Linked DNA regions of Oryctolagus cuniculus. The protein of the gene in region 2 interacts with the protein of the main gene of each other region in a biochemical or structural test. Links are inferred from orthologs where the notes say so. Each region holds a gene or a part of one and is shown on either strand. Other genes may lie near its edges.

Region 1 (3,646 bases), on a different chromosome or scaffold from region 2:
AGCGCGAGGAAACTGAGCACACCTTGCACTGGATGATGGCATCACATAGCAGAGCTGGAATCAAGGTTTTAGTTTCAGAAATGTTACAATTCTACTGAATCAACTCATACTGACATTATACAATTTATCTTAGAGTTACTAACTTAATACCTAACCACATACTTATATTGTATGCAACATCAATAAAAGTAGTTGTGCTTAAGTTCAGATCTGTAGTATTTATTTCAAAGTCAATAAATAAAACATAAACAGCCTTCTTCCCCAAACATCCATCTGTCAGTAAAGTCTTTTCAATAGAAATGCATGATTCATGGTTCATAATTCAAGAGACAGAAGGGCATGCGAGTGTATAATGAAGTCTTCCCTGCCGGCTCTGTCTTTACCCAGTTCCCTCACCCAAGGGCAAACAATGCTGCCAGTTCCGGAGATGCCATAAACATACAATCCAAGGTATCTGGATATACGCGCCCCTTTTAAAAAAATATACGAATGTTAACATGCTCTACTTCCTGTCCTGCACTCAATAATTACAATCAGAGTAAAAAAAGAACTTCCTTTTTTTTTTTATAATTGTGTAGTACTTTATAATCTATTCAACCAGAGCCCAACTGGGGACATTTAGGCTGTTTCTAATTTTTTGCTATTATAAGCTGTAGGAAAACAAAACAAAACAAAACAAAACCTTTGTACATATTTGAATGTTTGAGTATATCCAATAAATTCCTGGAAGTGCAATGGCTACAAAGAAAGACAGCTGCATTTATCAGCTTGGCTGATGGTAACAAACTGTCTTTAAAAAGCGCCTGTGAGAGGCTGATAGGATATGCATGTTCACATAATTTTTAAATTGGCCTCCATATCATGTTTTACAGGAAGAACACATTACTTGCTTTGCTTATGTATGTGTAGAAAATGGTGATTCATAAAGCTATGTAGTATGAATATTACTGGATTTTGTAATAACATATTTTCCAATCTAAAGATATTCTTCTATTAAAATGATTCAGAAGCTTAAAAAAAGATAGGTCTTTTTGTTGTTTCACAGTTAAATCACTAATAAATCAGCAACTTTAACATTTCATGATAAAGACTAAGTTTTAAAAGATAAATGCAGGGGCTGGCACTGTGGTGTAGCAGGTAAAGCCACAGAGCCTGCAGTCCTGGCATCCCATATGGGGACCAATTTGAGTTCCAGCTGCTCTGCTTCTGATCCAGCTCCCTGCTGTGGCCTGGGAAAGCAGTGGAAGATGGCCCAAGTGCATGGGTCCCTGCACCCATGTGGGAAACCTGGAAGAAGCTCCTGGCTTCTGACTTTGGCCTAGCCCAGTCCTGGCCTCTGTGGTCATTTGGGGAGTAAACCAGCAGATGGAAGACTTCTCTCTCTCTGTAACTGCCTTTCAAATAAATAAATCTTAAAAAAAAAGAAATTAGAGTTTGGAAATATTGCTATTTCTGAATGTTTGTCTGGGCTGTATTTATATGGCTCTAAAATGAATATACAAACAGGACCTGTGGTTTTTCTCATCAGAGTCATGTTTCTTTCATAACTGGGTCCAAGGGCTAACTCAATTGCATTTGATAAGCATACACCATTAAATATATTTTATTCCTGATTTTTTTATAAAGATTTATTTATTTATTTGAAAGTCAGAGTTACACAGAGAGAGGAGAAGCAGAGAGAGAGGTCTTCCATCCGTTGGTTCACTCCCCAGTTGGCCACAACGGCCAGAGCTGCGCCGATCCCAAGCCAGGAGCCAGGAGCTTCTTCCGGGTCTCCCACGTGGGTGCAGGGGCCCAAGGACTTGGGCCATCCTACACTGCTATCCCAGGCCACAGTAGAGAGCTGGATTGGAAGAGGAGCAGCTGGGACTAGAACTGGCACCCATATGGGATGCCGGCACTTCAGGCCAGGGTGTTAACCTGCTGCGCCACAGCACCGGCCCCTAAATATATTTTAAATGCAGTACATGAGCCAGTTCCTCTTAATAGTTTAGGTGGATAACATCATTAAGACATTTAGTTGATAAATATGTCTCTAATAAGATCCTAACAGTTTCTGAATTACTTTGTAACTATTAGTTCAAGTTGATATATGTATAGATATTATTCAACAAAATACAGTGTGCTTTTTTTTGTGGCATAAACTACAATGGATAGGGAGTACCAAGGAAGAGAGACAACATTTCACCTCCAGCTGCCATTTTAAGGACTTACAGTTTCTGTGTCTGGAATCTTGTGGGGTTGAAGCCCAAATTCCAAGTTCTTAACCTTTACTCCAAAAACTTCTCTACTAAAAATTTCATAAATACCTAAAATGAAATACAAACATATTTACAGCGTCTATAACATTAGCAAAGAAGAAAAGATAAAATTTAAAAGTAAATCTTACATTTTCCATTAAACACTGCTATTCGTGGCTGATATTTCTGTAATTTCTGGACTAGAATACGTCCTCCTTCACGAAATTCTTTACTAAAATTGAATTAAAAAGTAGTCAAAACCAAACGTGACAACATTTCTAATACGCTAAATTCAGGCTGTTTTCAATAAAAGATCACATCATATAGTCATTGAGCTCAGCTTGAAGGGCATGTGGATGATGTTCTCAGGGCCTGTGAGTGCCAGCAGGTTCAAGGTTCCGACTCCCCAGTGCTACGTCATTACCTGGAAAGATCCTTGCTGCCTGGCGTCGTCCTCTCCACCATATTGGTAAATCCAATGCCATACTTCCCAGGTAAAGTGTGATCGTCCATGTGGTTCAGCTGGACCTCACTCAGCCCTGACATGAACAGACACTTCCCTGCGAAAAGACAGTTCAGCTTATTTCTGCAGGTCAAAGGCTTTTGCCCAAAGAAATGGTGTGATAATCTAGGTTCTATTCTTGAAATGAAAAAAAATAAGATTGAGAATATTAAAAAATGGTAACATAGCTCAAACACCATATTGAGCAATTACTATGTGTGGGGTCAATCCTTGACATGGATTAGCTCATTTAATCACCGTAATTACTTTATGAGATTAAAATTATAATCTCCTTTTCTGTCTGAGAAGACAGAGCTACTAGTGTAGGAAACTTTGAAACTATTTTCCTTTCCAATAATTGCTGTTAACATAACCTGCCAACAAACATACACTAATAACAACAAACACCATGACAGTGAAGAAAATGGAGAATTCAGAAAATTCAGAACGTACCAGAAAGGTTTTTTTTTAAAGATTTATTTATTTGAAAAGCCTAGTGACACAGAGAGAAGAGAGAGAGGGGAATCTTCATCCACAGGTTCACTTCCCAAATGGCTGCTGGACCAAGCCAGAGCCAGGAGCCAGAAACTCCAACCAGGTCTCTCAGATGGGTGGGGCAGGGGCCTAAGGACTCGGGTTATCTTCCAGTGCTTTCCCAGGCACCTTAGCAGAGACCTGGACCAGAACTGGGAGTTGAACTCATGCCCAGTTAGGATGGTGGTATCGTAGGTGGTGGCATAACCTGCTGTGCCACAACAATGGCTCCACCAGATACTTTCAAAAAGAAAATGAAGAAAAAGTTTTGTTAGTTCTAAAAATGTGTTACTGTCACTTGCTCTAAATGCGTTTAATGTTACTCTTGGGGCTGGTGTTATAGCGCGGGGGTTGTGCTGCTGCCTGCAGC
Region 2 (3,746 bases):
GCCCCGGACCCGAGGGCCAGCGCCCTGACCAGGGCCGGCCACAGCGGCCCTCAAGGTCCAGGACCACAGCCCAGGGCCCAGGCCGCCGCGCCTGGACTCCACCAGCTGCTGTCTGCCCCGTCCTCGGAACCCACGGGTGTCGCCCTCCAAGTCCCTGGCTACAGAGCCACTCCACGGCTCACCTGGCACTGGTTAGAGGGGGAGGCTCTGCCCGGGGCGGGCGGCATCCCAGAACCCAGCAGGCGAGAGCCCAGGAGAGCCAGACCTCCACAGACGATCGGACGAGGACCACGGTCCTCGGGCTCCTGAGTGCCGGCGCCTCCGGCCGTCGCACACCGCGCACGGCTGCAGGCTGAGCCCACGGCTGCTCCACTTCCCAGCCGGCTCCCTGCGGGGGGACGCCCAGGGCCTTGGGCCCCTGCACCCGCGTGGGAGACCAGAAGAGGCTCCCGGCTTCCACACGGCCCAGCCCCAGCCGACGGGGCCGTCTGGGCGAGCCAACCAGCGGCTGCGCGACCTCTAACTCTGCCTTGACAATAAATAAACCTTTAAAGAGGCGAAGCCGCCGCCAGGCTGCCACGCCTTCCCGCACCTGGCGCCCCAGCCCGGGCCCCTTCCGGGAACAGGCGTGGCGGCCCGGTCCCAGCACACCTGCCTGTGGCTCACCACAGCCTCCACCTGCACGGGCAGCGCGCGAGCCAGCCCCGGGCGCCCTGGGGTCCCCGGAAGCAGGCAGCACAGCACGGGGCAGGGGCCGGCAGGGGCCTGGGGGCCGCGGGGAGCCCGACGTCGGTCCCCAAGGCTCCTGTGCGCCTCTCACACCCTCCCCGCTGCAACCCGCCCTCCCGAGCCAGCGCATCAGAACTGCACCCCTGCCCGTGCTGGGCCCGAAAGAGCTCCGCCCACAGAGACCCCCGCGGCGGGCGGCGCTGCCCGTCCGGGCCGAGCCACAGGTGCGCACCTGCTCGGCGCCGGGCGCCCGGCCTCAGTCTCAGCACGCAGCCGCGCTGGACAGGTGGGCTGCCGCGGCCCGCACCGGCCGCCTCCGTGGCCCTTCTCGGCCCTCCCGCACCCGCGGACGGGCCCTCTGGGGCATGCACCCCACGCCTCCCTCGGCTGCGCCCGACCCCCGTCCCGGGACCCCCGCGCCCCGCCAGACAAAGGCACAGCGGCGGGCTTGGCCAGCGGCCTTGCGGGAGAGGGCCGGGGCGCCGCGCGGGGCAGGCGGCCCACACAGGCCCCGGGAGGCGGACGGAGGGCCGGGCGCGCTCCGGGCCCCGAAGACGCGCGACCCCCGCGGCGGGGCAGGGGGCTGGGGGCCGCGGCCACGGCCTCACCTTGGCCGGCACGGAGCCGCCCGCCGCCCGTGGCGAGCGGGGCGCTCTCGGCCGCGCAGGAAAACTTCCCTCGGCGGCGGCGGAGCCCCCCGCGCGCCCGCTGGTCCGCAACCGGCCGCTCCCGGCGCCCTCCCGGGCGGCCCCGCGAGCCCCGCGGCCCGAGGAAGGCGCGGCCCGGGCGGCCGCCGTGACCCCGAGGCCGCGCGCCGCCCGGAAGGCCGCGGCGCCCGCCTCGCGCCCCGCGCGGGCCGCCGACGGCCCGGCCCGAGCCCGCGAGGCCCCCCGCCCGGCCCCGCTCACCTCGGGCGGCCGCGGCCCGGCGAGCGTCACGGACGAGCGGGGGCCGAGCGGCGGCGGCGGCGCTTCCCTTTGTCTCGGGACTTCCCTCCGGAGCCCGCTCCGCGCGCAGCCCCGAGCGCCGAGGACCCCGGCGCGGGCGGGGCGGCGGGGCGGGGCCTGGCCCGGGGCTGCCCGCCGCACGCCTGCGCCGCGCGCCGCCGCCGCCGCGCCGCGCCGCGCGCCGCCCGCGGCCCCGCGCGCTCCTCGCCGCCCGCGCCCCGCCGCCGCGCGCCCGCGTCCCGCGTCCCGTCGGGGAGCCCGGCCCGGGGGCGACTTTCCAGTCAGGCGGCGCCCTGGACACCTGTGCTCTTAAAGGAGCCGCGTCCTCGAAGTGAGGGAGCGTCTGCAAACTCTCCTTCGGGGCGGGCGGGCGCACTCGAGGATACGCCGGCGAGCAGCCGGGGAAGGGGCGCGCCGCGTTCCTCAAGGGCTCCCCGGATGCCCGGCGGGCGCGTCTCAGCGCGTAGGTTCCGGAGGTCTCCTTGGGGCCGGGGCCCGGGGCCGGGGGGCAAAGACCACTGAGGCCTACGGATGCCCGAAACGGCGCAGGACGGCGACAATCCCCTGAGTCTGGCGTCCTGTGAAACCCCCTGCAATTGGCCAATGCAGGGGCCTGGGCGGGGCATCGTCCAGATCCGCCCAATCAGCTGACGCCGTACGGAAGGCCGGACGCTCGCCAGACCGACGGGAGGAGAAGCGCCGACGCTCCCTAGCCCGGGGCCGTCCCGCCTGGGGGAGGGGCGCGCCGGGATTCCCGCGCGCGGTCTCGTCCCACGAGCGCGAGCGCGCGGTTCGCGGGTCCGCGCCGTCCCGCGCGGGCACGGCGGGGTCGCCCCTGGGGCTAGGGCGCCGTCCGAGCCGTCGGCGCGGTGGGCGCCCGGGGCCAGGCGATGGGGTCGGCCGCAGAGGGCCTGGAAGGCACTCATTCACGCCCTCCTCCAGGCTCCGCCGTCCGCAGCCTTCGCAGCTCTGGTTTGCCGGGACACGGAACGTGGCTGACAGGCCTGGCGGCAGCGGCGGAGACCCCCGAGGGGGCAGAGACGCCCCTCATTCCCCGCGCCCCTAGGTCCCGGTCCCAGCTTCCCCGCGGTCTGCGCTGGGCTGTGTGGCCGTGGAGAAGCCGCTGGACCGCGGCCCTGGGGTCCCAATGGGCAGGGGTGGGGGGCAGGGCCTAGGTCTGCAGGTGGGGGGGGTAGGGCCCAGGTCTGTGGGGAGGGGGAGCTGGGGGGCCCAGGTCTGCAGGTGGGAGGGGGTCAGCTCAGGGGTCCCGGATCCGCGGTCCTCCACACGGGGACACCTGGGGCAGGGAACCCACCTCAGATGGGCCAGGTTCAAAGGACACACTGAGGCTGGGGGGGGGGGGTGAGGGCCCCGGCCCCGCCTTGGGGGGCAGCCCTCCACAGATCACCCACAAATCCGGGCTGGGGGGCTGGTCAGAAATCCACACCTGAGCAAAACCCAGAACTCCCGAGAACAGGTGCGTCCCGACCCCGTGCCGGGGGCGGAGCCGGGGTCTGGGCCCACCCTCGGGGGGGGGGGGAGTGTGCGTCCCAGGACAGCCGGCGACCGCGGGCCCACCCCGCCTCGCACTCCCGCCCAGGGAGGAGCGCGCAGAGAGGCTGTGTCCCGGGGGGAGCGGAGGCCGGGCCCTCCTCCCCGTGGCCGCCCTTGGACGCCCTTCGCTGCCCACCGCCTGGTGACCGCGGGCAGCGCTGTCCCTGCCCCAGAGCCGCGCCCCGCCCGGATGCGGGACGCACCTGCCGCGCGCTCCCGCCTGGGCCTCGGCTGCCTCACTTCCGTCTCCAGACAGGGCCTCGCGCACCTGCGCCGCTCCCGCCTCCGGCCTCTGCCCGCGAGCGCTGCCCGCCCAAAGTCGCCTGCGGGGGCTCCTCCCCGGCCCCTGGGCGGCCGGGCGGGCGCTCTCGGAACGCCCCGGGGGCAGGGGTCCGTCTGCCTCCGCACCTACAGGACTGCGGCGCCTTTACCTGCCCGGGTGGCCCTCGCGCGGCTCCCCCGCGGGACCTCGCACCTGCACAGCAGGTGGGCAGCCGGATGCTTGGCTGCGCGGGG

What was found. The genes of interacting proteins can lie anywhere in the genome.
Region 1: of the proteins of UBE2I (region 2) and TDG, one has a biochemical effect on the other in vitro, tested with the Homo sapiens proteins (3 studies listed by BioGRID). The link is inferred for Oryctolagus cuniculus from reciprocal best matches to the Homo sapiens genes UBE2I and TDG.

The regions. Positions count from the first base shown.
Region 1 is NC_091442.1:106,812,149-106,815,794, reverse strand, and holds part of TDG (G/T mismatch-specific thymine DNA glycosylase), read right to left. Parts: intron 2,801-3,646; coding exon 2,665-2,800; intron 2,473-2,664; coding exon 2,390-2,472; intron 2,310-2,389; coding exon 2,215-2,309; intron 55-2,214; coding exon 1-54. UniProt on the Homo sapiens protein: DNA glycosylase that plays a key role in active DNA demethylation: specifically recognizes and binds 5-formylcytosine (5fC) and 5-carboxylcytosine (5caC) in the context of CpG sites and mediates their excision through base-excision repair (BER) to install an unmethylated cytosine.
Region 2 is NC_091450.1:33,712,881-33,716,626, forward strand, and holds the start of UBE2I (SUMO-conjugating enzyme UBC9), read right to left. Parts: upstream 2,244-3,746; 5' UTR 1,978-2,243; intron 1,795-1,977; exon of another isoform or gene 1,638-1,794; intron 1,491-1,637; exon of another isoform or gene 1,338-1,490; intron 1-1,337. UniProt on the Homo sapiens protein: Accepts the ubiquitin-like proteins SUMO1, SUMO2, SUMO3, SUMO4 and SUMO1P1/SUMO5 from the UBLE1A-UBLE1B E1 complex and catalyzes their covalent attachment to other proteins with the help of an E3 ligase such as RANBP2, CBX4 and ZNF451.